7 linked regions of the Macaca mulatta genome follow. The protein of the gene in region 1 interacts with the protein of each later gene in a pairwise test. Links are inferred from orthologs where the notes say so. Each region holds a gene or a part of one and is shown in the gene's direction. Other genes may lie near its edges. The genes, in order: KASH5, NSG1, GOSR2, GPR25, CYBC1, GALNT2 and TRAF3IP3.

Region 1 (3,785 bases):
CTAATTGGACTTGTCTGGGAAGAGCTGAGATTGGGCGGGATGGGAGCTCTGGAGCTATGACCTCCCTTTGCGTCACCAGAGAAAGGAGGGGAGAAGGGGCTGAGCAGTAGTGGAAGTCGGGGAGGCAAGTGCCATGCGAGTTTCCGAGTTTCCAGAGGGCAGGGGCTGTTTGATCCGAAGGTTGGAAAGCTGGGAGTGAGGAAGCTGGTGAATACAATGGCCCCTAAAGGTAGCCAGTGGTGAGGACTTGGACCTTGAGAGGGGTTGGGTCCCAAGTAGAAGTTTCAGGGGATCAGACAGTGTATGTCTGACTGGGGCCTAAAAGCCTGGATCCCTTATTGCGTGGGAGCACAGCTGTATTCCTGAGGGTATCTCTGAGGGTTTTGGGTCTGAAGCTGGTGGTAGTGGCAACTGCAGGGCTGAATCTCTGCTCCCCAATGAAGGCAGTGGCTGGTGGTGTGGATGGCTGGGTCTCTAAGGGGCATTCAGGCTGGGCAGCTTGAGGCCTGAGTCCCCAAAGCAGCATTTCAGGGACTCAGAGGGCTATGACCCTAGGAGGGGCCTCCCTAGGAGCCTTCCCCCGAGGCAGGGTTGGGAGCCAGATGTCCTCCTAGACCAAGACTCTGAGACTCGCTGAGGGCAGGGCCAGGTCTCATCTCCCAGCCCATAGGCCCAGGGTCTGCTCCTTGGAAGATGTGAGTGAATGAGTGAATGAGTGAATGAGTGGCATGCTGACCCCTCAGTCCTCCTGGAAGAGGGGCTTGCACACCTGAGAGGACTGGGCATGGGGAAGAGCTCCAGCAGTTGGGTTCTGTGGGCTGGGAGGTCTGAGTTGGAGTCCCAGTCCTCAGACAGTACCCAGTGACAGCCATTGAAAAATGGCTCAACCCACTAGACAGGAAGGGCGTTTCAACACGTGCTCTGGGGCCTTACAGAGGCCTGAATCTCTGGTACTTTGGAGGGTGAGAAAGCTGGAAGCCTCAGTTCCCAGCTGGGGGATCCGCTGGGGAAGTAGTGGCTGAGAAAACCACTCTGAGATGAAGAGGCCCCCTTATTCTTTTAGTGGGCACAGACCCTTTGGATCATTTTTTGAAAATTCATGTGAAAAACACATATGCAGGACACCCCCCGGGCCCGTCCATGCTGCCTGGCCTCCCCCAGGCCCATCTGTGCTGCCTGGCCTCCCCCAGGCCCGTCCATGCTGCCTGGCCTCCCCCAGGCCTGTCCATGCTCCCGGGCCTGTGCTAAGACCCTGCTCCAAGGCTTCCCTCCCAGCCCATAGTAGGCAAAGGGAACCAGGGAGGAGAGGACGATGCCAGCAGTGACTTTGTTGGCCCTCAGGTTGACCGGAAGAGAGGAAGAGGAGGATGCAGAGAGCCAGGTCACGGTAGGCAGTCCGCAGCACCCCTCCCCAGTCCCCATCCACTCCAAGCCCGCAGAGGCTGAGTCGTTCATTTCAACTCTTCCCAAGCCCCAACCTCACACCCCAACTCCTCAGGAGCAGAGAGAAAAATCATTTGGCCAAGAGATAACAAGGCCCTTGCTGTAGCTAATGAGAGCTATGGCGAGGTAGGGGGAGGCCTGGAGGCTGGTGGGCGGCCAGGCTGCTCCCAGGGGAGCCCCCCAGCCACACACACAGGGCTGCAGCCACCACACCGCAGGCCTTGTAGACATGGCTGCACCCCCGGATTGCATAAATGCACACGCACATGTGCCCACACTCGGGAGAGGTTGGGCTGGCCCTCCCCAGCCAGCCTCAGAACTCCCTGGGGGCACAGTGCCCACAGCCCCCCTGCCTGCAGCCACACAGGCCAGCTCCTCTGCTCCTCAGAGCCCAGTGCCCGGTGGAGGTGAGGATTTCTGTTCTCAGGCAAGGACAGGGAAAGAAACTCGGTAAGGAGAGGTGAGGAGCCCTCGGTTCTGAGCTGAGGAAGGCAGGAGCTGGGCTGGAGTCTGCCTGTTGTGTGTCAGGCACTGTCAGGGCCCTTGGGGCTCTCCAGGGTCCAAACTGGCCAAGATGGCTGCCTCCATGACGCTTAGCTCCCAGCGCCCTGGCCCCGAAGCCCACCTCCTCTCGACATACCACACTCCCTTGCAGAGACTGGGCTCCACCTCAGCTTCCTCACAGCTCACACGGGGATAATCTCTTCCTAGCTCCTAGGGTGGGGAGGAGGGTTAAGGACCACGTCATAAAGGGCCTGGGTCCCTGCCTGGCACAGCAGGTGGTAAAGGTGAACATATTGATTGTGATCGGTGTTCTGTTTTTATTTACTGCCATTATTATTGTCATTCATCATCCTCATCTGAGTCGAAAAGGTGTGGGGGTAGGAAGGCCAGAGACCCATAGAGGTGAGGCCCTTCCAGGGAGACATGGGGGATGAGGCGGCACAGTGAGTGGGGCCTAACCCTGGAGGGACAGCTGGGGCTTTGATCTTTGAATCTTCAGATGAGGTGTTGGAATTAATCAGTGAATTTAGCATAGTTGCTGGGTGAAAGGTCAAAATAAAAAATCAATCATATTTCAGTATAGCAACCATGAACAATGAGAACAATACATTTGTAATTATGCCATTTATAATGGCATGGTGTTTTTGTTTTGTTTTTGTTTTTGAGACGGAGTCTCGTTCTGTCGCCAGGCTGAAGTGCAGGGGCGTGATCTCAGCTCACTGCAACCTCAGCCTCCTGGGTTCAAGCGATTCTCATGCCTCAGCCTCCTGAGTAGCTCGGATTACAGGCACGTGCCACTACACCCAGCTAATTTTTGTATTTTTAGTAGAAACGTGGTTTTGCCATGTTGGCCAGGATGGTCTCCATATCCTGACCTTGTGATCCGCCCGCCTCAGCCTCCCAAGGTGCTGGGATTACAGGCGTGAGCCACCGCGCCTGGCCTATAATGGCGTGTTTTTAATTAGTAAAGCGTCTGCTGATTCTGGCATAGGCAGGAAGACAGGATTCTGCATGAGGCCAGCACAGGGGTGGGCACCTGTGGAAGATGTGGTCTCTGCCCTCGGAGAGCTTACATACTTCCAGAATCCAGTGGAAAATGGAGGTGATGATATTGAATAGCTCACACAGACACGGAGCACTCACTAGGTACCAGGCGCTGTCCAAGCTACTGCCCCCACCTTTTTTTCCCCCCACATTTACTCATTTAGTCACCATGTTAACCCTATGAGGTGGGGACATCCCTGGCCAGCAGATGCGGAAAGAGAGGCACGGAGAGGTGTGGTGACATGCCAAGGACCCTCAGCCAGAGGCTGGCAGAACTGGGAACCCAACCTGGCAGCGCATCTCAGAGAAGTGCACTCACTTAACTCCTGAGCTCCACCACCTTCTGTGTGGTCGCTTATGTCCAGTGGGCTGACCTGAGGACCTCTCAGTCCAGAACCCAGTGCTTCAAATGAATCTCTTTTGTCCTCCCAGGCTGATCTCCCTATGCCTCTAGGAGACCCTCGCCCTGGAGACATCCCAGAAAGCCCTCCAGAGAGGTAATAGGACCCACGGGGTCCGGGAGGGAAACTGGGGACAAGGAAAAACCCAGTAGTGATTCCCTCCTTTCCCCCAGCAGGCCTGCGCAGCAGGAACTCCAGCAAGCCTTGGTGCCTGTGATGAAAGAGCTGGTCCCAGTGAGGAGGAGGCCCTGGGGCCAGCTCTGCCTGCCCCCACAGCGGCTCAGGTGTGCCCCCAGGCATCTCCAGAAGGAAGAAGGTGGTCTGACCTTGGGAAGAGCAGGGGCTGCCCGGACCCTCCCCTAAACGCTCTCCCACCTCCCCACCAGGGTCACT
Region 2 (3,785 bases), on another chromosome or scaffold:
TCTGTATGTGGCCAGGGGAGAGTCCCAGCCCCTTGCAGCCCCCAGGCTGCTGGGAAGGCGGTGGGGAGAGAGCAGCTCTGTGCATGTTCAGACTAAGATTACGGAGGCCCTGCCATGTGCTGGTACCCGGCATCCTCCCACCCAGCCAGGGAGCCTCATCGCTCTCTCTGCCCCTCTGGGCGGGAGGGGGGCCATCTGCACACTGTTTTAGCTTTTTATTGATTTATTTTGAGGTGGAGTCTCGCTCTGTCACCTAGGCTAGAGTCCAGTGGTGCGATCTCAGCTCACTGCAGCCTCTGCCTCCCGGGTTCAAGCGATTCTCCTGCCTCAGCTTCCCGAGTAGCTGGGATTACAGGTGCCCACCAACACGCCCGGCTAATTTTTGTTTTTAGTAGAGCTGGGGTTTCACCACATTGGCCAGGCTGGTGTCGAGTTCCTGACCTCAGGTGATCCACCCACCTCGCCATCCCAAAGTGCTGGGATTACAGGCCTGAGTCACCACACCCGGCCCGTTTTGGCTTTGAGACATACTCTTATCTCTGCCAGGCTCCCTGGCAGCCGGGTGCCTTCAAGGTCCAGGTCCAGTGTCATCTAGTGACCCATGCCCCATGCCCTCCAGCTGGGGCAGGCTGTCCCCCTCCAAGCCAGCTGTCTTGCAGCTGTCATGAGTTCATCTGTAAACCCCAGCTGAACACCTACTGTGTGCTGGGGCTGTCTAGTGCTCAGCACACCATGGTGAAGAAAACCGAATCCCTGTCCTTGAGGACACTAACTAACCACACGGGAAACCACCAAGGGCAAAGGCTGATGGGGCTGCCGAGGTTCTGTCAGGATGGCCCCACGCAAAAGCAGGCTGGTGTCCGTGTGAAACTGCGTCCCAGCACTGAGCCCAGGGCTCAGGACACGTTTGCTGAGCGGATGCTTGGCTGGTAGCTGATGCACCATGGCCGTGTTGGGGCAGTGGGCAGCCAACCCCGCTTCTTAGACATGTGTCTCAGTGGCCCGAGAGCTGCCTGGGCAACAGTGGGGCTTCCTCATATCGGTACCCTGAGCTCTCTGCAGGACCTTGGGTACTAAAAATAACTAATTTAAAATGAAGGTCACTTATTAATATGGTGAAAAATTAAACTGTTACAAAAAATTGCCCAGTGAAAAGTGATGCTCCTAATCTCTTGTCCTCAGCTGCCCTCCCCAGGTTCTTCCAGAGGCAGTCTGTGCACATGCTGTGTATTGGGGGGCCTGCGTGTGCCGGGGTGTGTGTGTCTGTCCTGCTGCCTTCCGACCACCCCTGACGGTCCCGCCTCTGCCCACAGGTCTCTGTGCTGGTCCTCTTCGCCCTGGCCTTCCTCACCTGCGTCGTCTTCCTGGTCGTCTACAAGGTGTACAAATATGATCGCGCCTGCCCCGATGGCTTCGTCCTCAAGGTAAAGCTCCATTTTCCCCCAGAGGCCTTGGGATGTCTTTGCACCCCCTGTTCTCTCCCTTGAACTCAAAGCTGCTCCTGCCGTCTCCCCCAGCTGGCCCAGGCACAGGCCTTAGAGCAGCAGAGGGCCAGTGTCAGGAGTGTCCCTGCGGAAGGCTCAACTGGAGAGCAGGGCAGGTAGGCAGGGGACACATGAGACCCACAGGAAGGAAACTCCTGGACTCGGCCCCTGGGAGCTGACCTCAGCAGTCCAGGGAAGGGCCCTCCTCAAAAGTGGGCCCAGCCAGGGAAATGCCCAGGGTGATACCTACCGGGTCCCAGCGGATTGCTCTGGGGGAGGGAGGGAGAGGGGACCATGTCCGCCACATGAAAGAGAGAGGACATACTGGGGGAAGCCAAGTCCCAGAGAGAGGAAGGCCTTGCCCAAGGCCATGCAGGGACTGGGGAGCAGGGCTGGGGGGCACACCTACCCTCTTGACCCATGTCCCTCTTCTACCTGTCCCACCGTGGGAGCCACACTGGTGCTGGGCTCTCTACAGGCATGGAAATGCTTGCTTTCCATGTATAATGGTCATTCCAGAAAGCCCACAAGTGGCATGCAAGGCAACAGGATTAAAGAAAAGGGAGAGGAGATAAGGGTGGAAAGAGAAGACGGAGCCAGGAGGAGGCCTGGCCATGCATCACTTAGTGACAGGAATAATTCCTGAGAAATGCATTGTTAGGCAATTCTATCATTGTGCCAACCTCACAGAGTGTACTGTACACACCCACACAGCCCAGCCTGCTACATACCTGGGCTGTAGGGTATGGCCGACTTCTCCTAGACTACAAACCTGGACAGCATGTTACTGTACTGAACAATGGAGGCAGTTGTCACACAATGGTATTTGTGTATCTAAACATAGAAGAGGTCCAGTAAAAACAGGGTATAAAAGATAAATCGTCCACCTGAATAGGGCAGTTCCATCATGAATGCAGTGTGCAGGACTGGAAGCTGGTCTGGGTGGGTGTGTGAGGGAGTGGGTGGTGAGCGAATGTGAAGGCCCAGGGGTGACTGTGCACTCCTGTAGACGGAGTGAGCGCTGGACACTTGAGCTACACTCGATTCATAACATATTCTTTCTTCAGTAATAAATTAATCTGAGCTCACTGTAACCTTTTTACTTCATAAACTTTTTTTTTTTTAATGTGACGGAGTCTTACTCTGTCGCCCAGGCTGGAGTGCAATGGCACGGTCTTGGCTCACTGCAACATCTGCCTCCTGGGTTCAAGTGATTCTCCTGCCTCAGTCTCCCGAGTAGCTGGGATTACAGGCGCCCGCCACCACCTGGCTGATTTTTGTATTTTTAGTAGAGACGGGGTTTCACCATGTTGGCCAGGCTGGTCTCGAACTCTTGACCTGAGGTGATCCGCCCACCTCGGCCTCCCAAAGTGCTAGGATTACAAGCGTGAGCCACGATGCCCGGCCCATAAACTTTTAAGTTTTTGACTCTTTTGTAATGACACTTAGCTTAAAGCTCAAACACGTTGCACAACTGTATATTATTTTTCTTCATGTGCTTTTTCTATTAAAAATTTTTCAATTTTTTTTTTTTTAATTTCAACACATTTTTGTTAAAAACTAAGGACACAGACACACACATTAGCCAGGCCTGCACAAGGTCAGGATCAACAGTATCACCGCCTTCCGCCTCCACACCTTGTCCCACTGGAAGGTCTTCAGGAGCAGTGACAGGCGCAGGGCTGTCATCTCCTAGGATAACAATGCCAGGACAGGTGTGGTGGCTCACGCCTGTAATCCCAGCACTTTGGGAGGCCGAGGTGGGAGCATCACCTGAGGTCAGGAGTTCAAGACCAGCCTGGCCAACATGGTGAAACCCCCTCTACTAAAAATACAAAAATTAGCCAGGCGTGGTGGCGGGCGCCTATAATCCCACCTACTCGGGAGGCTGAGGCAGGAGAATTGCTTGAACCCAGGAGACTGAGGTTGCAGTGAGCCGAGATCATGCCACTGCACTCCAGCCTGGGCGACACAGTGAGACAACGTCTAAAAACAAAACAAAACAAAACAAAACATAACATTGCCTTCTTCCAGAATCCCTCTTGGAGGAGCTCCCTGAGGCTCTTTTAAACTTTTGTTTTAATAACTAGGCATACACTCTAAAATACTGATTAAAAAGTATAGTATGGTAACATAAACGAGTAACATAGGCATTTATTATCACTGTCAAGTATTATGTTCTGTATGTAATTTTATGTGCAAGACGTTTATACAGCTGACAGTGCAGGGGGTGTGTTTACACCAGCACCTCCGCAAACGTGAGGCATGTGTTGTGTTCTGTCCATACAGTGGCTGCGAGGT
Region 3 (3,785 bases), on another chromosome or scaffold:
TCCTGTCTCACTCATTTCCTCCCTCTTCCTTTGATAGGCAGGTCCATGAGATCCAGTCTCGCATGGGACGCCTGGAGACGGCAGACAAGCAGTCTGTGCAGAGTGAGTAATTAACTGTGGAGACCAGAGTCCTTTCTCTGATGACAGGGTGCTAATGGGCTGGGTTTCCTGACTGCACTCTGCCTCGGGGGCTTAATGATTCAGCGTGGAATGAGTTTTGTTGTTAGGGTGGACAGAAAAACCCTATGGCAAAATCACTGATTTCCCTGAGTGTGCCCTTTGGAATCCCACAAGTCTTATCCCCCATTACCCCTCCACTCAACCTGACATGGCCCTATGGGAATGGAAGCGCTTGCCTCCATCTGTCTTAATCTAATTACCTAGTCCTTAGAGGAATGTACTCCATAAAAATTCAGAGATGTTTAACTGGAATTGGCCATTTCTTCTGAGCTGAGAACTGTGGCTTTTAAGGAGGATTATTCAGAAACGAACAGCAATATTAATTAGTTTAGTTCCCACAGCATGGTTTCTTTTGAGAAGCATGCTGGATTTTTGGGTTTTTTTTCGTGTTTTTTTTTTTTTTCTATTCTAAGGAAAGATCTTTTTTCTGAGTCAGTCATATGGACACCACCTGCGGGGACTGCCTACCCACCCCACTGCTGGGCTCCCTCCGGACCCATTCCTCCTGTTCTCTCACGTCTCCTTTCACAGCTTCAAAAGCAGCTCTGTTCTTGGTTCTGTGCCCCACCTTGTTCTAATCTCAGCTGTCTTTGTTTACTGTGGGCGCAAAGGCCTAGGAAGGGGCAGTGTCACTGCTGTCACTTCTTTATGGGGCAAGAAGCAGTCTGGATGCTTTCTTTTGTGCACAGTTTAGCTTTTTTGTTCATTGGACTTTGTTTGCCTTCTCAGCAATCTTGTTACATGATTAGAAATGGAAAGAGGTCATTTTGACTGTCTTATCGAAAGAGATAAGGAAAATGACCGTATTTATCATATCTCTTTACCTCTGTGGATTCTTTCCTGGGCCTTTCCTATTGATATTTGGTCTATTTTGGGGACGTCAACATTGCTCAGCCCACCCATTCTTACAGAAAGCCTTAAGGGAGCTCTCCTCTGTATGTTTCACATACTAATCTTCCCCTTCCTTTATGCTTTTTTTTTTTTAATTAAAAAAAAAAAAAAACTCATTACTATAGGGAATTCAACTGGCAGTCTTTTTACTAGGTATTTATAATCCACGTCTGAGAAATCCAAAGGAAAAGAGACCTATATCAGAAAATTTAGCTTAAAGTATTTATTTGTACAACCTTTGCATGTTTATTTTCTAAAGGTAGGAAATTTATTTCTACAGATTTACCTTCAGCTTTTTAAAAAAATTGGCATTGTTGTGTCATTAACAACTATATACATGTACTTTTTTCAAAACAACATTTACGGCATAATTTGAATTTTTTCTGTTATTCATTAGTGTATACATTTTTCTCCTTTTGAAATATGTAGTTCTAGTTTATTGGATATTGAAAAAAAATCTGTAATTTATTCTAATTTAAGTTCACTATCTCTTTTCCAGCAATTATTCTTTTTTCTTTTTTGTACAGTAGTAGAAAACGAAATCCAAGCAAGCATAGACCAGATATTCAGCCGTCTAGAACGTCTGGAGATTTTGTCCAGCAAGGAGCCCCCTAACAAAAGGCAAAATGCCAAACTGTAAGTGCTGACCTCTGACATGGCACTGCTACTCCAGGCCCGGCAAGATAGGCTTTTCTCCTGGCGGGGGGGAGGCGATAGAATATTCTGAAAACCCACGTACATGTTGAAAAACTACGACTACGTAAAGAAAAAGCCCCCCCAAAGGGCACAGTTGTATCTGAGTAATGCTCCTCAAAATAAATAGCCTGTGAGGTTTGTGACTCAGAAACCTTGTGACCCCTTTGGTGTCATTTTGAAATTTTGCCTCCAGTTCTGTTTTTCTGACTAGACCCATGGCCACCTGAAGCCTAATGTTGCCATGGAGTTTTGTTCTGCTCTTTGGTTCCTGCTGGGTTCTTCTTGGGTTGAAATGAAAAATCACTTGAATCAGTCCACCCATAATGAAATGCTGATCTAATGTTTGATACTCCACCATGAAATTAAAATGAAACCACCTTTGCCACTCCACCCCCAGTGCCTGTTTCCAAAAGTTTTATGATACTTTGTGGATGCTTTACCTCAAAGATGCCCTTGGGCTTCTTCCAGGAGAGCGATATAATCCATAGAAGGTCAAGAAGAGGTCAGCGAGCCTGCTTCCTGTCCCCTGTTCCCTGTCATGCATCCAGAATCAGAGAGCAACAGATTCTGAAGTAAAGCTGCCAGAAGCTTGTGTGCTACCATCTCGCTTTAACCACACGTTACTTCTTTACTTTCAACATCATTGATCAAAATCAGATCTTGTGGTGGTGGGGTATAGCATGGGGTGGTGTAGGGAGAAGTAAGGAAATGCTGTCTTTCCTGAATACAAAGCCTGGCCCCCTGAGACTCTGCTGCCCTGAGTTCCTGGAATTTAATCTCTCTCTCCATCAATTCCAGTCGGGTCGACCAGTTAAAGTATGATGTCCAGCACCTGCAGACTGCGCTCAGAAACTTCCAGCATCGGCGCCATGCAAGGGAGCAGCAGGAGAGACAGCGAGAAGAGCTTCTGTCTCGAACCTTCACCACTAACGTAAGCCAGGCCTGCGGTGAGGGTCGGCCTGCATTTGGCAGATTGTGGGGGCTGGAGTTCAGATCTCTGAGCGCCATCTGTTTTGGGGGTATCTGAAGAAGACTGGTGATGAGGAAACCAACTGGAAATGACGGGAACTTTGTGCATTGCCACAGAGACTAGACCTCGACAGAGAATCCCTTTTTCTAAGACAAAAACCTGAAGAGGAAGCAGTTAAATTGAAGGGGAATAGGCAGAGGTGAAAATTACCTGGTTGGACTGGTCTGAGACAGAAAGGTGGAAGTTCACATAGTGGAAACGTTTTTCTGATCAGATAGAGACAGATGATTAGAACTTAGGCCATTTGTAGAGAAGGCAGTATTTCAAAGCTGCCTGCGGGCAGTTGCCGTTGTGCCGAGTATGTGTGTGGTTCCAGTGTCAGGTGCATTAAAATGTTTTTGCCCCTAGTCTGAGCAGCAATTTGGAGGAATTTGTTAACGGATGTGTAGGGTTAGACGGACTGCTTGCCTGAGTCTGTCTGAAAATGTGTTGGTGTGCACGTTTGATTTCTCAGAACCCATTGTCCCTGCCCTTTAGTCTTAACCAGATCATTTCCTGCACATGGCTGTAGAACAGACTGGCCTTTTCTGTGTCCTGCATAATATATTCCACTAAGTGAAGTGTGCTTTGGCTTTTTGTATGTTGTTTTTTACAGAGGATTATTTTCTAAAGAGATGTTAGCTTTCTAAGCCTGTTGTTAAAATTCACATCATTTCCCGCTTTGTAGATGTTTAACCCTCAATGCTGCATCCTTGCTTTGCAGTAAATTTCCCCAAGTGTTTCAGGCTCTGCCAACGTTGTTTTGCTTCCCCAGACTAAGCAGTCAAGTCACAGTGTTTAACAGTTCAAAAATTTAATGAACTATAAGACACACTAAAAGATGGTTGGATTTTAGATCGTTAATAATGTAGTATTCAGGCCTTTTTTAGACCAGGGATGATCGCTTAGGATTATTTTGTTTTCTGCTAGCCTGGTGTGATGCTGTGCATACAGTCAGTTCTTAATAAACATTGGCTTGCCAGATGAAACTTCTTCCTGGTCATTCTAC
Region 4 (4,352 bases), on another chromosome or scaffold:
CTCTGCCTCCCGGGTTCAAGCGATTCTCCCACCTCAGCCTCCTGAGTAGCTGGGACTGGTGTGTGCCACCATGCCTGGCTAATTTTTGTAGTTTTAGTAGAGACGGGGTTTCACCATGATGGCCAGGCTGGTCTCGATCTCCTGACCACAAGTGATCTCCCCGCCTCGGCCTCCCAAATTGCTGGGATTACAGATGTGAGCCACTGCGCCCGGCCTCTAAGACCATTTTCCAAATCCTTCCTGGGGATCTCCGTGTGCTAGAGGGACCCCAAGTGAGGGTGACCTTATGTCCCAGTTTGCCCAAAATAGTCCTGGTTTATGGCCCAGGTTAATTCTCATAGTGCCCCTTTCACTCTCAGAAACATCCTGATTTAGATGATAAATTATTTCATGACTACCTCAAACCAACATCAAACTGAACACATACGCACATGCGCCTCACTGTTCTTGGCAGTTAAGGGGACAGTGTCCATATGGTCCCTAAGCGGAGAAACCCCAGGCTTATCTTTGACTCTTCTTTGTGAGACCTATGATGCTACAATTACCTCCTGAATACATCCTCTCCTTTCTGTTCCCACTGCTCATGATCTATTTCAGACACAAATAATTACAACCTACGGTGGGGTCTCCCTGGCTTGAGTCTCTCCCTTCTCCACAGTTCTGCCAGTGATCTTTTCAAAACACAGATTAATGCCTCCTGACTCCCCATGACCTATAGATTGAAATCCAAATCCCTTCATGATTCCTCCTGCTTCATCTCCTGTCCCCACTTTCCTACCCTAGGCTCTGGGAGACTGCTTGTCCCCTGAAAAGCCCACATTCCTACTCATTTCAGTATACTTGTTCCCTTCACTCCCTCCTCCGAGTCTGACCCTTTCTTCTCTTTTCTGCTGCTCTTATTTGACTTTCAGCTCATTCCTGGGACTGATCTCAAGTGTCATCTCCTAGAAGGCCTTTTCTGATTTAGCTTTCCCGTCAAAAATAATCACTCCCCCTCCACTAAACCCTAAGAGGGCTTGGCTTTTAACATTTACTACAATTTGGACTCCCGGCATGTCGGCCATTGCACATTCTGCTTATGTAACCATCTCTCCTGCCTATGCAATAAACTGCTAAGGCCAAGAATGGCATCTCTCGCAGTGCCTGAAACAGTGCCTGCTTCATGGAGGAGTTCATTGTTAACAAGTCTGAATCGAACAAAATTGATAATCCACCTCAAATTTTCCACACCAGGTTGCCCGGCACATCAGCCACTCATTCCTGGGGACACTGGGGACAGACTCAGAGGGCACTGTGACATCAGTTCCACCACAATATCTTGTGGAAGGGATATCTGCTAAGAAGAATTCAGATGTAATTGGCTGCATGCCTCCTTCAGGAGGAAGAGCAAGCATTCCCTCCCCCATCCTCTCCTCCTAAGGGCCCACCGCCCACTCAGGGTCAGACTTCATTCCCCCTCTTCTTTAGGTATCCTCCCCTTACTCTCAGTTTCTCATTTCACAAAGGATCTTGCTGCCTCCAAGCTCCTGACTCATAATTTAGGACAACTAATCTGGTGTTTCATTAGGTGTCATCTTTTGAACTGAGCTTACATCTGCGTCTGGCTTAATAGATAGCTTTTTTAGGCTGGGAGAAGACAGGGAAGAGGCAGATGTGAATCCCAGGCTTGGCCCCTGTCCAGCAGGATGATCTGACTACACCCCTTCCTAGATGCCTTAAAACCCTTCCACTCCGCTTCATGAGGACCTGTTTGGGTCAGAGAAGCCACTCACAGGGTGAAGACACAAACCCCACATTTCAGGATGCTAACAACGGTTTGAGTGCCCAGGGCGGGCTCCCCGACCCACCCAGATCTGCTGTGTCCCGGCAGTGGACTCTTTCCTAGGGAACAGGTGGATTTGGGGGGGGGGGGCGTGCCTTAGGCCCCATACTCATAAAATCCCCTGTCTTCTCCCCTCTAAAACAGAGAAAACAGCAGCCGGTGGGTGCAGGTGGGAAGGGGTGAGGTGGAGGCTGAGAAGAGATTAGGGCTCTCTGGCACCCACCACCTCTTGCAACACGACCCTGAGGCAGTGGGGCAAGTATCCCGATTTCACGAACAAAGAAACTGAGCAACTAATAGAGGAATGGGCCACGCTCCTACTGGGAGGCGGGGCAGGTCTCCCAGCCCTGAGGACTTTTCCTCCCAAGACTTAGTTGTGAAGCCCCTTTTGCCTATCCCAGCCCTTACCCCTCGGGTCAGCCCCAAATCGGAGGCCACCATCTCTCCCACAGGAGCCTGCCCCTCCCACCCCATCCCCTCCTCCCTCCTGTCTTTCCTGCCCACCCATTTGCTCGAGCTGGGGTGGCAGGAAGGGAGGTGCACGACACGGGCATGAAGAGCAAACCCCCTCCTGCTCAGAGCTGCTGCCGCCTGAGCCCAGGGCTGCACCCAGCGCAGGCCTCGTGGCCAGGCCATGGACCCCACAGAGCCCTGGAGTCCCAGCCCGGGGTCAGGGGCCTGGGACTACTCGGGATTGGACGACCTGGAGGAGCTGGAGCTGTGTCCGGCCGGGGACCTGCCCTACGGCTATGTCTACATACCTGCACTCTACCTGGCGGCCTTCGCCATGGGCCTGCTGGGCAACGCCTTCGTGGTGTGGCTGCTGGCCAGGCGGCGCGGCCCACGGCGGCTAGTGGACACCTTCGTGCTGCACTTGGCGGCCGCTGACCTGGGCTTAGTGCTCACACTGCCGCTGTGGGCCGCGGCGGCGGCGCTAGACGGCCGCTGGCCGTTCGGCGAGGGCCTCTGCAAGCTCAGCAGCTTCGCGCTGGCGGGCACGCGCTGCGCGGGCGCACTGCTGCTGGCTGGCATGAGCATGGACCGCTACCTGGCCGTGGTGAAGCTGCTCGAGGCGCGGCCCTTGCGCACCCCGCGCTGCGCGCTGGCCTCGTGCTGCGGCGTCTGGGCCGTGGCGCTGCTGGCTGGCCTGCCCTCCCTGGTCTACCGGGGGCTGCAACCCCTGCCTGGGGGCCACGGCAGCCAGTGCGGGGAGGAGCCCTCCCACACCTTCCAGGGCCTCAGCTTGCTGCTGCTGCTGCTGACCTTCGTGTTGCCCCTGGTCGTCACCCTCTTCTGCTACTGCCGCATCTCGCGCCGCCTGCGCCGGCCGCCGCACGTGGGTCGGGTCCGGAGGAACTCGCTGCGCATCATCTTCGCCATCGAGAGCACGTTCGTGGGCTCCTGGCTGCCCTTCAGCGCCCTGCGGGCCGTCTTCCACCTGGCGCGTCTGGGGGCCCTGCCGCTGCCGTGCCCCCTGCTGCTGGCGCTGCGCTGGGGCCTCACCATCGCCACCTGCCTGGCCTTCGTCAACAGCTGCGCCAACCCGCTCATCTACCTCCTGCTGGACCGCTCATTCCGAGCCCGGGCGCTGGACGCGGCCTGCGGGCGCACCGGCCGCCTGGCGCGAAGGATCAGCTCGGCCTCCTCGCTCTCCAGGGACGACAGTTCCGTGTTCCGTTGCCGGGCCCAGGCCGCGAACACTGCCTCGGCCCCCTGGTAGCTGCCCCGGGCCGCTGGAGGTGGGCGACAGCGGAGCACCGAGAGGAGGGGAGAAGTCCCGGGAGGGGACCCAGATGCGCCTGTTCTGGCGGCAGCAAGCTGCTCCGGCCGGCATCGCATTGCCTCGCGCGCTGCCTGGACTCCCAGGGTCTCCTCCATCAGCTTCCCCGGAACCTCAGAGCAATTGAACTCCCCTAAACCAGGCTCCTGAGACTAGCTGTTCCCTGTCAGCCTGCAGGGTACAAGATAAGTGCTATGAGATGGAGCAGACAGCAACTCGGAGACCCGCAGATTCACCAAGAAGACAGAAGGGAAGGGGATTTCCTTCTCTGCCTCATTGGGAAGAGCACTGACCAGAAATCGAACCCAGACCCCTAAATGCCATTCTGGTTTCTGGCTGTGCTTTCTCCCGTCTCCCACAATAGCTTTTGCTTTCAGAGAAATACCTTCTCCAAGTCAGGCCCTCTGCCCTTCTCACTCACAAAACCCTGGTGTTGAATCTGGTGACACTTCTCCCCCTACGAAGCGGTAGGACTCACCTGGAAGTTGTTCTGGTCTTTCCCTCTCAACAGAAGGTCCTGAAATCGCTCACCAGGCGTTTCTTAAGGTCTCCACCACTCAGCCAGGAACCTCAAAATCTTCTCTGTGAATTCATCTTTCTCAATAAACAGACACTCCTGCTAGCCCTGTCTTCACAGTCGTCTTTGCTTGCGCAGTGGGAGTGAAATGCGTATCAGGAGGCGGGTCGCACACTGGGTGAGACAAAACTCAACACAGTAGTTGAGGTTGATCTCAGGATGATGAGGATTTG
Region 5 (4,286 bases), on another chromosome or scaffold:
AGCTCTGCCTCTTGGGTTCACACCGTTCTCCTACCTCAGCCTCCCAAGTAGCTGGGACTACAGGTGCCCGTCACCATGCCCAGCTAATTTTGGGGGTTTTTTTTTTTAGTAGAGATGGGGTTTTACTGTGTTAGCCAGGATGGTGTCGTTCTCCTGACCTTGTGATCCGCCCGCCTTGGCCTCCCAAAGTGCTGGGATTACAGGCGTGAGCCACCGCGCCCGCCCGGCAGGCTCAAGATCTGTTTTAATGTGAATGCTGGTCAGCTGTCTGCTTGAATTCCAAAAGGGAGGAGTGAGTAAGGTATGTCTGTCTCTTCCTTCCCATCACTGCCTTAACTAGTTTTTCAGGATAACTTTGGAATGCTCTTGGCCAAGAGGAGGGGTCCATTCAGATGGTTGAGGGTTTGAACTTTATTTTTGTTTTACACCCGCAATTGCTGACTTGTATCCTTGTAGAATCCTTTAGTACAGTCTTGTCTTCCAAATTTCCACTAATTCACTTTAGAAACTTGTTCACTTTCAGCTTAAATTTTTTCTGGCAAGACTACTTCATGGATGGTGTTGTGTACTTCCAGTATCCGACCTTTTTGCGATGTTAATTAGCAGTCATTGATGACATTGCCCAGGTCCGTTAATTCATAAGGTGATGTGTTAATCCTACTGTTTCTTCTTCATTTATTAGCGGGAAAACTTCTATAATCAGACATTCTTCTCATGCAGTATTTGGTTACTCTGCTGTAAATTTCATAAAGGCAGGACAAATGCTTGATGCTTTCCTTTTATTAACCAGGCCACAAACTGGGGAGAGCTTGCCAGCATCCTCCAAAAGTGAACACAGTTAAAAAATACATTATTATGAATTACAGCCTGGAGCACCTCAGGATTTTCAATTCATTGGAATTACTGTTCTTATTCATGCTCAAATCTTCCTTTTTGGCAATGAGAACCGCTTCAGTTACGCTTCTATGTTGGGAAGACGCTCATAGGCTTTGGTAAGTTCTTTGCTTTCGGATACGTTTCCCCACACGTTTCTCTTTTCCAAGAAAACCGGTTCCTAGGCCGGGCGCGATGGCTCAAGCCTGTAATCCCAGCACTTTGGGAGGCCGAGACGGGCGGATCACGAGGTCAGGAGTTCGAGACCATCCTGGCTAACACGGTGAAACCTCGTCTCTACTAAAAAAAAACCAAAACCAAAAACAAAACAAAACAAAACAAAACAAAAAAAAACTGGTTCCTTTAGCTGGAACCACCCGACTCCTCCTGTGGCTCCGCCCGGGTCCCGGAAGTCCGTGCAGCCCGGCCTGCGATCCCGGAAATCCGCTCGGCTCCGCCCCATCCAGGAAATGCTTGCGGCCCCGCCCCCAACCCCGGAAGTCCGCGAGGTCCCGCCCCCGAAAGTCGGCTCCGCTCCGCTCCAATCCCGGAAGTCCGCGCGGCCCCGCCCCTGCCGGTTCGCGTCTCTCTGCTGCCGCGCGGGGACCGCTGTGCTCTCGGTAGGCGGCTGGGCTGGGTGGGCTCCGCACTTCCTTCCCGCTCCGTGCCGCGCGTCCCGGCACCCTGGGGCCCACTCCGGACGGGGTTTGCGTCCTGGACCCGCTTGTCGGCTGCTCCGTGTCCCGCCCTGCCCGTCGCGGGCGGCCTCGCGGCTGTTCCGCTGCAGGTTGGCCACGGCGGCGGGAGCGCCCTCGACCCGGACAAAGAAACGAGCGCTCGGTGCGACCAGCGGCGCGGGCGGCTCTGCCACCGGGCGTGTGCTTGTGTGTGTGCATTTGTGTGGAATGCCGGGTGTGTGTGCATTTGTGTGTGGAATGCCGGGTGTGTGTGCATTTGTGTGTGGAATGCCGGGTGTGTGTGCATTTGTGTGTGTGCATTTGTGTGGAATGCCGGGTGTGTGTGCATTTGTGTGTGGAATGCCGGGTGTGTGTGCATTTGTGTGTGGAATGCCGGGTGTGTGTGCATTTGTGTGTGGAATGCCGGGGGTTTGGGGAGCAATGCGGTAACTGAGGCCCGGGAGGGAGCCCAGTCATATACCAGCATCTAGGATTGGTTTTGTGATTTGAACCCACTATTTTTTATTTTTTTGAGACACGGTCTCACCCTGTCACCCTGGCTGGAGTGCAGTGGCACGATCTCGGCTCACTGCGGCCTCCACCTCCTGGCCTCAGGTGATCCTCCCAGCTCAGCCTCCTGAATAGCTAGGACCACAGGCGTGCACCACCACACCGGGCTAAGTTTTAAATAGTTTCTCTGGAGACGGAGTTTCACCACGTTGTCCTGGCTGGTCTCGAACTCCTGGACTCAAGCAATCCGCATGCCTCGGCCTCCCAAAGTGCTGAGATTACAGGCATGAGCCACCGTGCCCAGCCCGAACCCCCTATTTAATGTCAGAAATTTGACTTCACAGGGAAAGCCCTGAGAAACTGCCAGAACGGGGTCCCTGGGGCCAGTGTTCGCAGCGTACTGTGAAGTGGCAGGGCTGTTGCAGTCCGTGCAGAACCCGGTGTGGAAGATTAGCCCCTTTGGTGACTCGTCGGTTCTGGCCATTTTAGGACGCTCCACTGTGCAGTCTGAACTTTCAGCAGGTGGAGGAAGGCAGAGAGAGAGCTGAGACTGTTGGTCTATGCCAGTACAAGAGCCAGTACGGCCTGAAGCCATGAGGGGACTTTCAGTTCCCTTTCTTGGTGGAGGCCAGGACAGGGGAGAGGGGGTGCTGACAGGTGCTAGAAGCTCAGAGGCTGCTGGGGGCTAGCGGCCTCCTCAAGACATTAGGTTTCCAGATAGGATGGGCAGGTGGTGATGCAGCTGTAGCTCGTGAGTCTGAGCGGGAAACAGCCCCCGTGCAGTCGGTGTCACTGTGAACGGAAGAGGGTCTTCCTTACACAGGAAACGGGGTCTCTGGGGGATCCAGTGATGTGCCCGACCACAGAGAACAGATCAGACTGGCTGATGGTGTCTGGGGCTGCAGGTGACTTAGTTGGGGGACCTGCTCTTGGCCTCCAGCCTGGGCCTGATGGCGTGGGCACCTGCCTGTGTGCAGGGCTCAGCTGCCTCTGTCTGTCCCCAGGCCCCTCCTCCTGTAGAGACTGGTGCTGCCTTCTCGGGATGTACCTGCAGGTGGAGACCCGCACCAGCTCCCGCCTCCATCTGAAGAGGGCTCCAGGCATCCGGTCCTGGTCCCTGCTGGTTGGTAAGGCTCTCCCCAGAGGCTGTCCCTCCCCAGAACCCCAGAATTGGAAGCCTGACTTTCAAAAAGGATGAAAATGAAACACAGTATTTTCTGTTTTTTCTATTACCCTGAAATCGAACAGCTATTTTGTTTCTTTGTATCCATTCAAATTTTATCCTGTGTACTTCGTTTTACAGATAATGCACATCTATTTTGTCCCCTTTTAACCACTAACACCCAGAGTATTTAATACTCTGTGAGCTTTTCTGAGGTCACCGTATTTTCCTTTGTACTTGTTTTGAACCGTGTGATGGGTGATCGTGGGTTCCCATTTCTTCTCTTCCCTGATCCTCAGACCTCCTCATAGGACTCACAGTCCACTTAGCCTCCTGTCCTCCGTCCCTACTCACCAGTAGGGTCCTGTACCCTTGGGGATAGCTGCACTTGTGTTGACGGGACACCGTGTGAAGAGTGGTGCTGGCTGTACCTCAGCAGCTGTGTCTCTGGGGCCCACATTTTATGTGACACGCCACAGCCTCCTGTGTGTTTTGCGTGGCACGCTGCGTTGTAATTCTTTGTGCACAGTCTTCAGGCCTCACCACGGGCTGCTGGAGTAACACCCGTGTCAGTTCTGGAGCCTCACATGGCGGATGTGTCCAGTAAATACTGTGAATAGTGTATACTGTGTTTTGTTTTTGTTTTCTTTAGTGATGAGGTCTCGTTAGGTTGCCCAGGCTGGTCTCAAACTCCTGGGCTCAAGCGATCCTCCTTCCTCGGCCTCCCAGGTAGCTGGGATTACAAGCGTGTGATACTATGTCCAGCTATACTGCATTATCGAACCAACTTCCTGGCTGTTTCCCCTACTCTGAACCTGGTGGTCTGTAACCCCTGACCACAGCTGTTCCTATAGTGGGAAGGGCCTGCTCATCAGGGGCTGTGGCTCCAGGTCCCGCTGCACCGGGGAGGAGGTGGGGTCTTACCGGGATCAATAGGCAGGCAGTCCCTTTCTCTTCACAGGAATCTTGTCGATTGGCCTGGCTGCTGCCTACTACAGTGGAGGTAAAGCACCCCCTGCCCCGCCCCCCCATGACTGTCTCAGCTGTTTGGAAAACAGAGAAAA
Region 6 (4,468 bases), on another chromosome or scaffold:
CACAGTTTCTTTAATCATTTCAGAATAGACTTTCTACCTGCCTTCTAAGCTGGTTTTCTCTGACATATTCCCTTGTGGCAGCTTGTGGGCACACGCTTTCTCAAGGCATGGGGTAACAGTGTTAAGAACAGGAATGCAAGCACAAAAGGTCGTCCTAGCATGCCCATACTTGGAATGCCTGCCCCTGTTCTTACAGTTGGTCCTTAGAGATAGATGGGATGTAGGGAAACTGAGGCTCGGAGCCTACTGGAGCCAAGTGTGTGTATATATACGTATATATATACACGTATATATTTCAACCCCAAGACTCAGGCTAACCCTAGTCCAACCCTAATTTCACAGCACGGAAAGCTGAGGCTCAGAAAGTCATTGCCTCCAACCTAGAGTCATCTGGGAAGACCAGGCCAGGACCGAGTCCCCTGTTCAGACCCCAGTTGTCAGGGAGATGCTTGCAGAGGGCCCTCTTTCACCTGTCTGTCTCCAAACCCCTGCGCCAGCTCTGGGTGCTCCTCCTTCCCTGCTCTGTGGAGTCCCAGATTCCTGGCAGCGGGAGCCCCTCTGTAGGGTTCTGGTCATAATCCACATCTCTAAATGTCCATCTGTATTGATGACTTGATACCAAAATGTGTAAGGGAGTGCCTGTCAAACAAGAGAAGGCTACCATTGCTTGGACCCAAACCACCTAGAAACTGCCTCCCTCACTAGCCCCTCAAGAGGAAGCTCCTCGAGGGCAAGGCTGGCATCTGCTGAGCCAAGTACTGGGTGAGTCTCAAACACATTCCCCTGGGATGTAACGGAGCAGAGCTGTCTGGATGTAACGGATTGATAAAGTGATGACTTTATGACACCTTTTTAAAAAACAAATGGTTACTTCAATATTGCTTAATTTCAAGAACTGACAGGTGTTTCTGCTTCAGTCCCAGTTTTGGGGAACCATAACTGACATGCCTTAGGACCTTCGTGAAGCATGAGAAGACCTATCAATAAGAAGTTTTTCTGGATGTATGGCGTGTCTAAATGGGGATCTGTTAGGTTTTCAACCCCAAGACTCAGGCTATTATAGAGGATGTGGGGGCCATTTCAGTAGGGTCTGGCTGCCTTGAAAATCTGTGCTGCACCCCCGCCACCACAGTCCCATCAGACAGACATCAGAGCCGACAAGGCCACCTGTGTGAGACGGAGCTGGGGTTTGGTTATTGTTTTTCTACGGTTCTTCATTTAGCTGATGCTTTGACACATGACAGGCAGTCCCTCCAGTGGCCAGAATCAGATTCCGTTCATTCCCAATTCTTTGTTGAGAAGATTCCTGGCCGCTCAGAGTGACAGGGCAGCCTCAATACACACTTTACATGATAATGGAGAGAAACAGCATGAGGGGTGATTGACAGAAACGAGGGAGCGGGAAATGAAAGAGGAAATGATGGGCACTTAGCAAAAGCCTCCCCTGGCTCCTCTGATTGCACTGTCTTTCCCTGTTGGCAAGAACTCCAGGTGAGCAGGTGGATGGAAATAAGGCAGGCAGGGTCCAGGCGACAACATCCTTGTGGTGTTTCACGCAGGTCGGGTCCCCAGCACTGGGCTCCTCTGCTTGCACCGGCTCTTCCCTGCCTCACTCACTGGCCCCTCGAGAGGAAGCTCCTTACAAATTTTATCTTGGAGCTGAACTGGCTTTGCAGTTGGAATATTTGGTTTCCAGGCACGTCCATGTTTTCATATTATGTGCATATTTGCAGAGTCAAAAAGAAAAGGGTGGCAAGAGTGAGAAAATTTAATTCTGCAATGTCAAAAGGATTTGCAAAAAATACTTAGGTGAAGGAGCTTTAGTGCACACAGTATAAAAAATTAATTAGAACCACAGACTTCATTATTTGAAACGAGCTTTGAGGAGGAAAAAAATGGTTACTTTTTGTTTTTTAAGAACAAACATTAGAGATTTTTAAATGGGGATTTTTCCTTTCTTTTCTTTTTTAAGAGACAGGATCTCGCTCTGTTGCTTGAGACTGGAGTGCAGGGGTGGGTATGACCGTAGCTCACTGCAGCCTCAAACTCCTGTGCTCAAGCGATCCTCCCACCTCAGCCTGCAAGGAGCTAGGACAACAGGCAGGCACCACCATGCCCTGCTAATTTTTTAAAAAAATGTTTGTAAAGATGAATTCTTGCTATGTTGCCCGGGCTGGTCTTGAACTCCTGACCTCATGCTATCTTCCTGCCTCAGCCTCCCTCCCAAAGTGCTGGGATTACTGGTGTGAGCTGCCCGCACTCAGGCTGAAAGGGGTATATATGTTACTTGCTATAAACAGGGCTCCTCAGATTTCCTTCAGGCTGGGTTGTGTGCTTTGATTTCTGGCTTGGTTGGTGGGTAACGGGTGCGTGGGTTGAGTTTGGTTGTTTGCTTGATTTGAGTGTTAGTAAAGAGGCATCGTACCCTATACTTTACAAGCGGCATGTTCAGAACTCAGCAAACACTGGTCCCCGCCATACAGAGCACCAGGGGCCTCAAGGGTAGCAGAGACAAGTTTCTCATATCCACCAAGGAGCTTGCACACCACATATACAAACCAGTAGAGAACAGACCGCATAGAAATAGGCTTCTCAACCCTATGTTCTGTTCACACAAGCATCTCTCTTCCTGACATTTGGCCTGACATGGTTCCTCTGGCTGCCCCGAGCAGAAAGCCCTAAGTGGGAGCATGGAGGTGCCCAGACTAAGGCCTCCAGGCAGGGCTGCTTCCCAGCAGCCAAGGGAGGAGCTGGCTCTGCTTTGTGTGGCTCTCTTCTTGGGGTGAACCATCACTGGATCAAGCTTTCTTATGAAGGCATGCAAATTCCCCTACATCAAATCCTTGTGTTAATGACGAAGGGGTGGGTGCCCAGAGTGCTGGGGCTCAGAGGAGGGGACACCCACAGAAAGGTTGGGGCAAGAGAGGTTCTGAGTTTTGATCCAAGGCAGAGAATACGTTTCCTTCCTGGGCCCCCAGCAGCAGCACAAGGCCCTGAATTCACACGGATCTGTTTGTACTCCTTTGCTTGGGGCCACACTCTAAGGCATTCTCCTGTGTCTTGCAGAAATGGGAACAGATCGAAGGCAACTCCAAGCTGAGGCACGTGGGCAGCAACCTGTGCCTGGACAGTCGCACGGCCAAGAGCGGGGGCCTGAGCGTGGAGGTGTGCGGCCCAGCCCTCTCGCAGCAGTGGAAGTTCTCGCTCAACCTGCAGCAGTAGGAGGGCCCGGGAGGCCCTGCCGTCCTGTCTCCTGCACCATCGGGTGGAGTCTGGTGATCACATTATTGATTATGTTTCTTAAACTTTCCGCGAAACTAATATACCTCAGTATTCCATCATGGTCTGAAAGTCGAACTTCGGCAAGGCACGGACGACTGTGCAGACACAACAGCGGCAAGAAGCGAGAACTGCCCTCCCCCTCCTCTTGGTGCAGCCCAGCTGGGCCCCCTTCCCCAGGCCGGAGCGCCCCTCTTCCTTCCAGCTTTCACTTCCACCGGCTCCGCAACTGAGTGACATCCAGCAACAGCCGACCGGGGAGTGGTAGAAGCGGCAACTGAACAGACGCATGCGAGCTGAGGGCAGGGCGGGAGGAGGGGGCACACACGCCCAGGGGAGCGAGGAGAACTCTTGAAATCTCCATTTTCGATCCCATCGAAATCACGTATGGTTTCCACAAAGCCGAGTCGTGTCACGTGGCAGGTTTACGTCGATAGCCCCTCTCTCTGCTCCTCCGTTCCCGAGTGTCTTCCTGGTCCAGACTCCCCTCCACCTGATGTACTTGCTATCTCTGAGGATGAAGTTTTCTAAGGTGGGACGCTAAATATAAAGCTATATAGAGAAAGAATGTACGGTCAGTTCCCTATGGTTTCTGTAGGAAGAATGTACGGTGAGTTCCCTATGGTTTCTGTAGGTCATCATCATCTTGTAAATTCCCCACAAAGCCGTTCGCAGCTTCCGGGAGAAGGGGCCAGAGCCCGGTGGGGCCAGGTTCTCACGGAGGGAGGAAGTGGCCTTTGTCCCCTGGAGCCCGATCAGCCAGTTGGTGCTACTGCTGTGGCCAGCTGTGGGGGCTTCCTCCAGACCACCGGCCTCGGCCCCGGCATCCCTGTTGGGCGTCAGTCAGCCTGAGAGTCACTACTGTGCGTCAGAATCCACTTTGTGTGCTGTGTGTATCTGTGAACCTGGAGGGGTTACTTATTTTGACAGATATCACTTTGGGTCTTTTTACATTAAATTTCTTTTCTCTAAGGAATATAAACAACACCCCATAGCTCCCAATGTGAGCCAGCGATACCGCTGCCCCCTGGCGACAGGGCAGACCAATGATGCCAGGCAGCTGTCACACGCTAGCATTGGCCTCATTGTGATCTCAGCCCTGCATGCAGGGCCTTCAGAATTAATGGCCAGCAGTGTCAGGGATGAGTCTCTCAGCCTGGGCACAGGCCTGGCTCACAGTCCTACACAC
Region 7 (3,785 bases), on another chromosome or scaffold:
CCTACATTTTACAGGGAAAGGTCCATGTACAAGACTGAGAAGAGGTGAGGAGTGCAGAAGTGCCTAGAGAGGGGAGAGAGGTAGTGAGCGAAAGGGTAGCTTAGAAGCTTTCCTTCCAGGGCTCCCCTGCTATGCTACCCTGAGCCATTTGATAAAAATGGAGGTAAAAAGAGGACTTGAGGCCAGTCTGATTCTTTCTTGTCCTAGTCTAGAGAAAGAAGAGAAGATCCTCTTCTATTCAGCATCCTTTGTCATATTTGCTCCTGCCTGCCTCCTGAAAGAGTTCACTGTTTGAGCATCAACCATGTGCTGGGCAGTAGGATAGGAATATAGAGTCAAACTCTTTGCAGACTAGATTTTGGCCCACACTCATTAACTCATCCCATTTGCTCCAGGGACAACTTAATGAAGACAAACTGAAGGGGAAACTGAGATCCTTAGAAAACCAGCTGTACACCTGTACCCAGGTAAGCATTCTGAAGGATATTTCCGTCTCGGGAATCTAGAATTAAATGTGAAGAATGCTTGAACCTCAATCTTACTTTTGAGAAATGCCACCAGATAGAGAATAACACACCCATTCCTACTTACCCAGTTCTGGCTTGGCCATTTTCACTTTAGTCTCTAATTCACTAGATCACTGTCTCCATCCTTCTTCCTCTCCCTTTCTCCCAGTATCCTTCTCTTTGCACCCTGGAGGAATCCCAGCACTAACCACTTTGTCAGCTCCAGGGGAACCTTGAGAATACCTGAAACTGTAGGGAAAGGCCCTTGGTAAAGATTCACAACACCCAGACAGATCTTTACACATCCTAATCTTTGAACAGATGAGTTAGATGTTATAACGAAGTCTTAGAAAATGATTTTCATTCCATGGGCAACTTTTTTTGTTTTTTCTAGCAACCCCTAGAAGAATGTAAAAGCTCTTTTACTTGGCTCTTCTGTAACACCATTTTCCAGCATTAGTAATCTCCTGATTGGCCTAATCTTGGTTTACAAGAGATAGAAAGAAATCAGCTTTCACATTTGAGAAGTGATGGATACCTGACAGGTGGGAAGATGTCAAATAAGAGAATGGGGCGGAACAGGCAGACTTCTCCCATCTGGAGTTAGAGAGAGAAGACAGTTGGCCACATAGATGGCGTCTCACAGGGGAAGAGAGTTTATGGAGTCTATAAGTTTCTTGGTCCACAACTTTCATTTATTCAGTATGACTTGCTTTGACAGGACTAAATAATGCCAACCAAGTTCACAAGAGACCAATATATAATCCAGAACGCCAATCTATTCATTTTCAATAAGGAATAACACATAACCAGTGCCCAGCATGGATGGTCATTGGATGTCCAATAACTGGGACATCCCCTACATATGACCTCAACCAGGTTAATTCCTGAATCTAGTTTTTAATGAAAGTTCCAAAACTATAAGACCCACTCAAATTTAAATCCAAAATTTCAGACAATTCCAAAGCTAAATGGAAATGATTTCATATTGATCCCTAAATTTTTGTCATCTGGTCTACTGCTTACACAGTGGGTAATCCAGAATTGACAGTAAAATCTGCCTGCCTTCTCCGAAATCACAGGACACAAAGATGAAAGAAAGGGAGAAGGCAAGACCCCCAGTGAATGTGCAAAGCTGCACTTGTGTCTCCTTAATCCTGCAGCCAGGAGGAATTTTATAACGCGAATGTATTAATTTTAAACCATTAAGTTCATTAGGCATTGTAGAGAAGCTACAGTGATTTTTTTTTAAAGCAGCAGCAGTATGCTCCCTCCCTGAAGGAGTTTACAATCCAGTAGGAAAAACAGATGAGTCAACAGAGTAGAATAATAGAGGCATGCAGGGTACACTATGTGAACACTATGAACACTAAGAAAAGCTGCCTAATCTATAAGACATTGTGGGATGGGGGCAGTTGGTCAATTTATCAGAACTGATGATACTGGACTGAATCTTGAGTGTGAGTAGAAGTTAACCAGTTCTAGGCAGAAGAAGCTATATGGGTAAAGGCAGAAGCCAAAAAAACAGAGTGCTAGGGGATCTGCAAACATCTCAGCTTAGGTGGAAGTAGCATGGGATGAAAGTCTAGGCATGTAAGTGGAGCCATGACAAGGAGTTTGGATGTGATTCTTAGGATGCTGAGAATCCATGGAGAATTTATGCAGGAAGTGGCAAGATCAGATTTGCATTTTAGAAAGAACCTTCTAAATGCGGGACTGAAAAGGGACTGAAGGGAGGCAAGATTTGAAGAAAGGGAAGCTGTTGCATTAATCCACATAACACTACTACTAGAGCCTGAACTAAGGAAGCAGCAGTAGGGATAGAGAGGAGACAGATATGAACTATGAAGGAAACTGTCAAGGTTCAATGACCAACTGATTACTGGAAGGAAATGAGAGAGAAAATGAAGATTGACTCCCTGGTTTAGGGTTTGGAAAAGACTAGATGGATGATGATTCTGGTCACTGAGATAGGAACCCCAAGAAAAAAGAACTTGTTTAGAAACATGAGTCCTGTTTAGACATGTTGGATTTCAAGAGCTTGTGGAAGGCCTCAGATATAATGCCCAGCAAGCCTAGGGCACTGTTTATTATACCCCCCCACTCATCTCTCATTGCCTGAGGGACTCTCCCTGCTAGCTCTACCCTAAAAGAAAAGGCTCACTAGATTACTGGTATCTCTGCCTGGGGGAAGAACCAACTTCTTTTCATTTCTGTATCCCAGTTCAGGATTTGGCACACAGAAGTTCAATGTGTATTTGTTGAATTGCATCAAATTTACAGAAATACTCCCCTTGGGGAATGAAAAAAGTACTACTGGAGATGGAAGACCAGAAAAACAGCTATGAGCAGAAGGCCAAGGAGTCACTGCAGAAAGTGCTGGAGGAGAAAATGAACGCAGAGCAGCAACTACAGAGCACACAGGTATGGGGATGCCACACAGACCTTGGGGTTGGGGACTCCAGGCAGCTTGGGGAACAAGGGAGCCAGCTGCACAGCTCCCTGGAACCTCTCCTCTCTGACCCCCCTCAGCGATCCCTGGCCCTGGCAGAGCAGAAGTGTGAAGAGTGGAGGAGCCAGTACGAGGCTCTGAAGGAGGACTGGAGGACCCTTGGGTCCCAGCACAGAGAGCTGGAGAGCCAACTCAACGTGCTTCAGTCCAAACTGCAGGTACCAGGCACTGGGGGTGGGGAGGGAAGACAGGGTATGGGGAGGAGGGGTGGTGATGAAGAAGCTCTTCTGGATTAGGGACTCCAAAGGCAGCTGACAGCATCTGGCTTTCAGTTCCTCAGTCACCACCTACTTTGTACCAAATTCACTGTTTTGGCTCTGAAATTTAATTTCGAGTTTAGCAAGGATGTCTGCACTGCTCATGCAAATGAACTAAGCGTTCATTGGAATGACACCATCACCATCCAAATGAAAAGAACTGGCTGGAATATATATCAGCCTACTAATGTCATATCCCAACCCACTCTCCAAACTCCATCCCAAAAAAGCATCCAGTTCAGAATTGCCCACTGTTGGCACAGAAAAAATGTCACTAATTTATTTACAGGTGAGTACTAACTAACACTTTTTGCCAATGTGTTTTTTAAGCAATTACATTTAGCAATTACAATTAGACTCCTGGCATCCTCAAGGGTTCCATCATCTTCAATCTGTCCTAAGACTCGGTTTCCCCATCTGTAAAATGAGGATAATAGTACTTACATCATAAGGTTGTTCTGAGTATTAAGTAAGATGATCCATGTAAAGTACTTAGCACAATGCCTGGCA

The links.
Region 2: the proteins of KASH5 (region 1) and NSG1 interact in binary tests that used the Homo sapiens proteins (3 or more experiments, as listed by UniProt). The two-hybrid records come from large-scale screens. The link is inferred for Macaca mulatta from reciprocal best matches to the Homo sapiens genes KASH5 and NSG1.
Region 3: the proteins of KASH5 (region 1) and GOSR2 interact in binary tests that used the Homo sapiens proteins (3 or more experiments, as listed by UniProt). The two-hybrid records come from large-scale screens. The link is inferred for Macaca mulatta from reciprocal best matches to the Homo sapiens genes KASH5 and GOSR2.
Region 4: the proteins of KASH5 (region 1) and GPR25 interact in binary tests that used the Homo sapiens proteins (3 or more experiments, as listed by UniProt). The two-hybrid records come from large-scale screens. The link is inferred for Macaca mulatta from reciprocal best matches to the Homo sapiens genes KASH5 and GPR25.
Region 5: the proteins of KASH5 (region 1) and CYBC1 interact in binary tests that used the Homo sapiens proteins (3 or more experiments, as listed by UniProt). The two-hybrid records come from large-scale screens. The link is inferred for Macaca mulatta from reciprocal best matches to the Homo sapiens genes KASH5 and CYBC1.
Region 6: the proteins of KASH5 (region 1) and GALNT2 interact in binary tests that used the Homo sapiens proteins (3 or more experiments, as listed by UniProt). The two-hybrid records come from large-scale screens. The link is inferred for Macaca mulatta from reciprocal best matches to the Homo sapiens genes KASH5 and GALNT2.
Region 7: the proteins of KASH5 (region 1) and TRAF3IP3 interact in binary tests that used the Homo sapiens proteins (3 or more experiments, as listed by UniProt). The two-hybrid records come from large-scale screens. The link is inferred for Macaca mulatta from reciprocal best matches to the Homo sapiens genes KASH5 and TRAF3IP3.

The regions. Positions count from the first base shown.
Region 1 is NC_133424.1:61,841,052-61,844,836, forward strand, and holds part of KASH5 (protein KASH5), read left to right. Parts: intron 1-1,341; coding exon 1,342-1,387; intron 1,388-3,423; coding exon 3,424-3,488; intron 3,489-3,565; coding exon 3,566-3,676; intron 3,677-3,732; exon of another isoform or gene 3,733-3,778; coding exon 3,779-3,785. UniProt on the Homo sapiens protein: As a component of the LINC (LInker of Nucleoskeleton and Cytoskeleton) complex, involved in the connection between the nuclear lamina and the cytoskeleton.
Region 2 is NC_133410.1:8,581,445-8,585,229, reverse strand, and holds part of NSG1 (neuronal vesicle trafficking-associated protein 1), read left to right. Parts: intron 1-1,313; coding exon 1,314-1,424; intron 1,425-3,785.
Region 3 is NC_133421.1:70,166,888-70,170,672, reverse strand, and holds part of GOSR2 (Golgi SNAP receptor complex member 2), read left to right. Parts: intron 1-37; coding exon 38-102; intron 103-1,598; coding exon 1,599-1,707; intron 1,708-2,565; coding exon 2,566-2,698; intron 2,699-3,785. UniProt on the Homo sapiens protein: Involved in transport of proteins from the cis/medial-Golgi to the trans-Golgi network.
Region 4 is NC_133406.1:58,519,767-58,524,118, forward strand, and holds GPR25 (putative G-protein coupled receptor 25), read left to right. Parts: upstream 1-1,500; 5' UTR 1,501-2,456; coding exon 2,457-3,542; 3' UTR 3,543-4,224; downstream 4,225-4,352. UniProt on the Homo sapiens protein: Orphan receptor.
Region 5 is NC_133421.1:92,162,838-92,167,123, reverse strand, and holds the start of CYBC1 (uncharacterized protein C17orf62 homolog), read left to right. Parts: upstream 1-1,367; 5' UTR 1,368-1,493; exon of another isoform or gene 1,494-1,713; intron 1,714-3,064; 5' UTR 3,065-3,102; coding exon 3,103-3,187; intron 3,188-4,183; coding exon 4,184-4,225; intron 4,226-4,286. UniProt on the Homo sapiens protein: Functions as a chaperone necessary for a stable expression of the CYBA and CYBB subunits of the cytochrome b-245 heterodimer. Controls the phagocyte respiratory burst and is essential for innate immunity.
Region 6 is NC_133406.1:18,767,531-18,771,998, reverse strand, and holds the end of GALNT2 (polypeptide N-acetylgalactosaminyltransferase 2 precursor), read left to right. Parts: intron 1-3,066; coding exon 3,067-3,222; 3' UTR 3,223-3,845; downstream 3,846-4,468. UniProt on the Homo sapiens protein: Catalyzes the initial reaction in O-linked oligosaccharide biosynthesis, the transfer of an N-acetyl-D-galactosamine residue to a serine or threonine residue on the protein receptor.
Region 7 is NC_133406.1:67,527,438-67,531,222, forward strand, and holds part of TRAF3IP3 (TRAF3-interacting JNK-activating modulator), read left to right. Parts: intron 1-395; coding exon 396-467; intron 468-2,789; coding exon 2,790-2,930; intron 2,931-3,038; coding exon 3,039-3,176; intron 3,177-3,785. UniProt on the Homo sapiens protein: Adapter protein that plays essential roles in both innate and adaptive immunity. Plays a crucial role in the regulation of thymocyte development.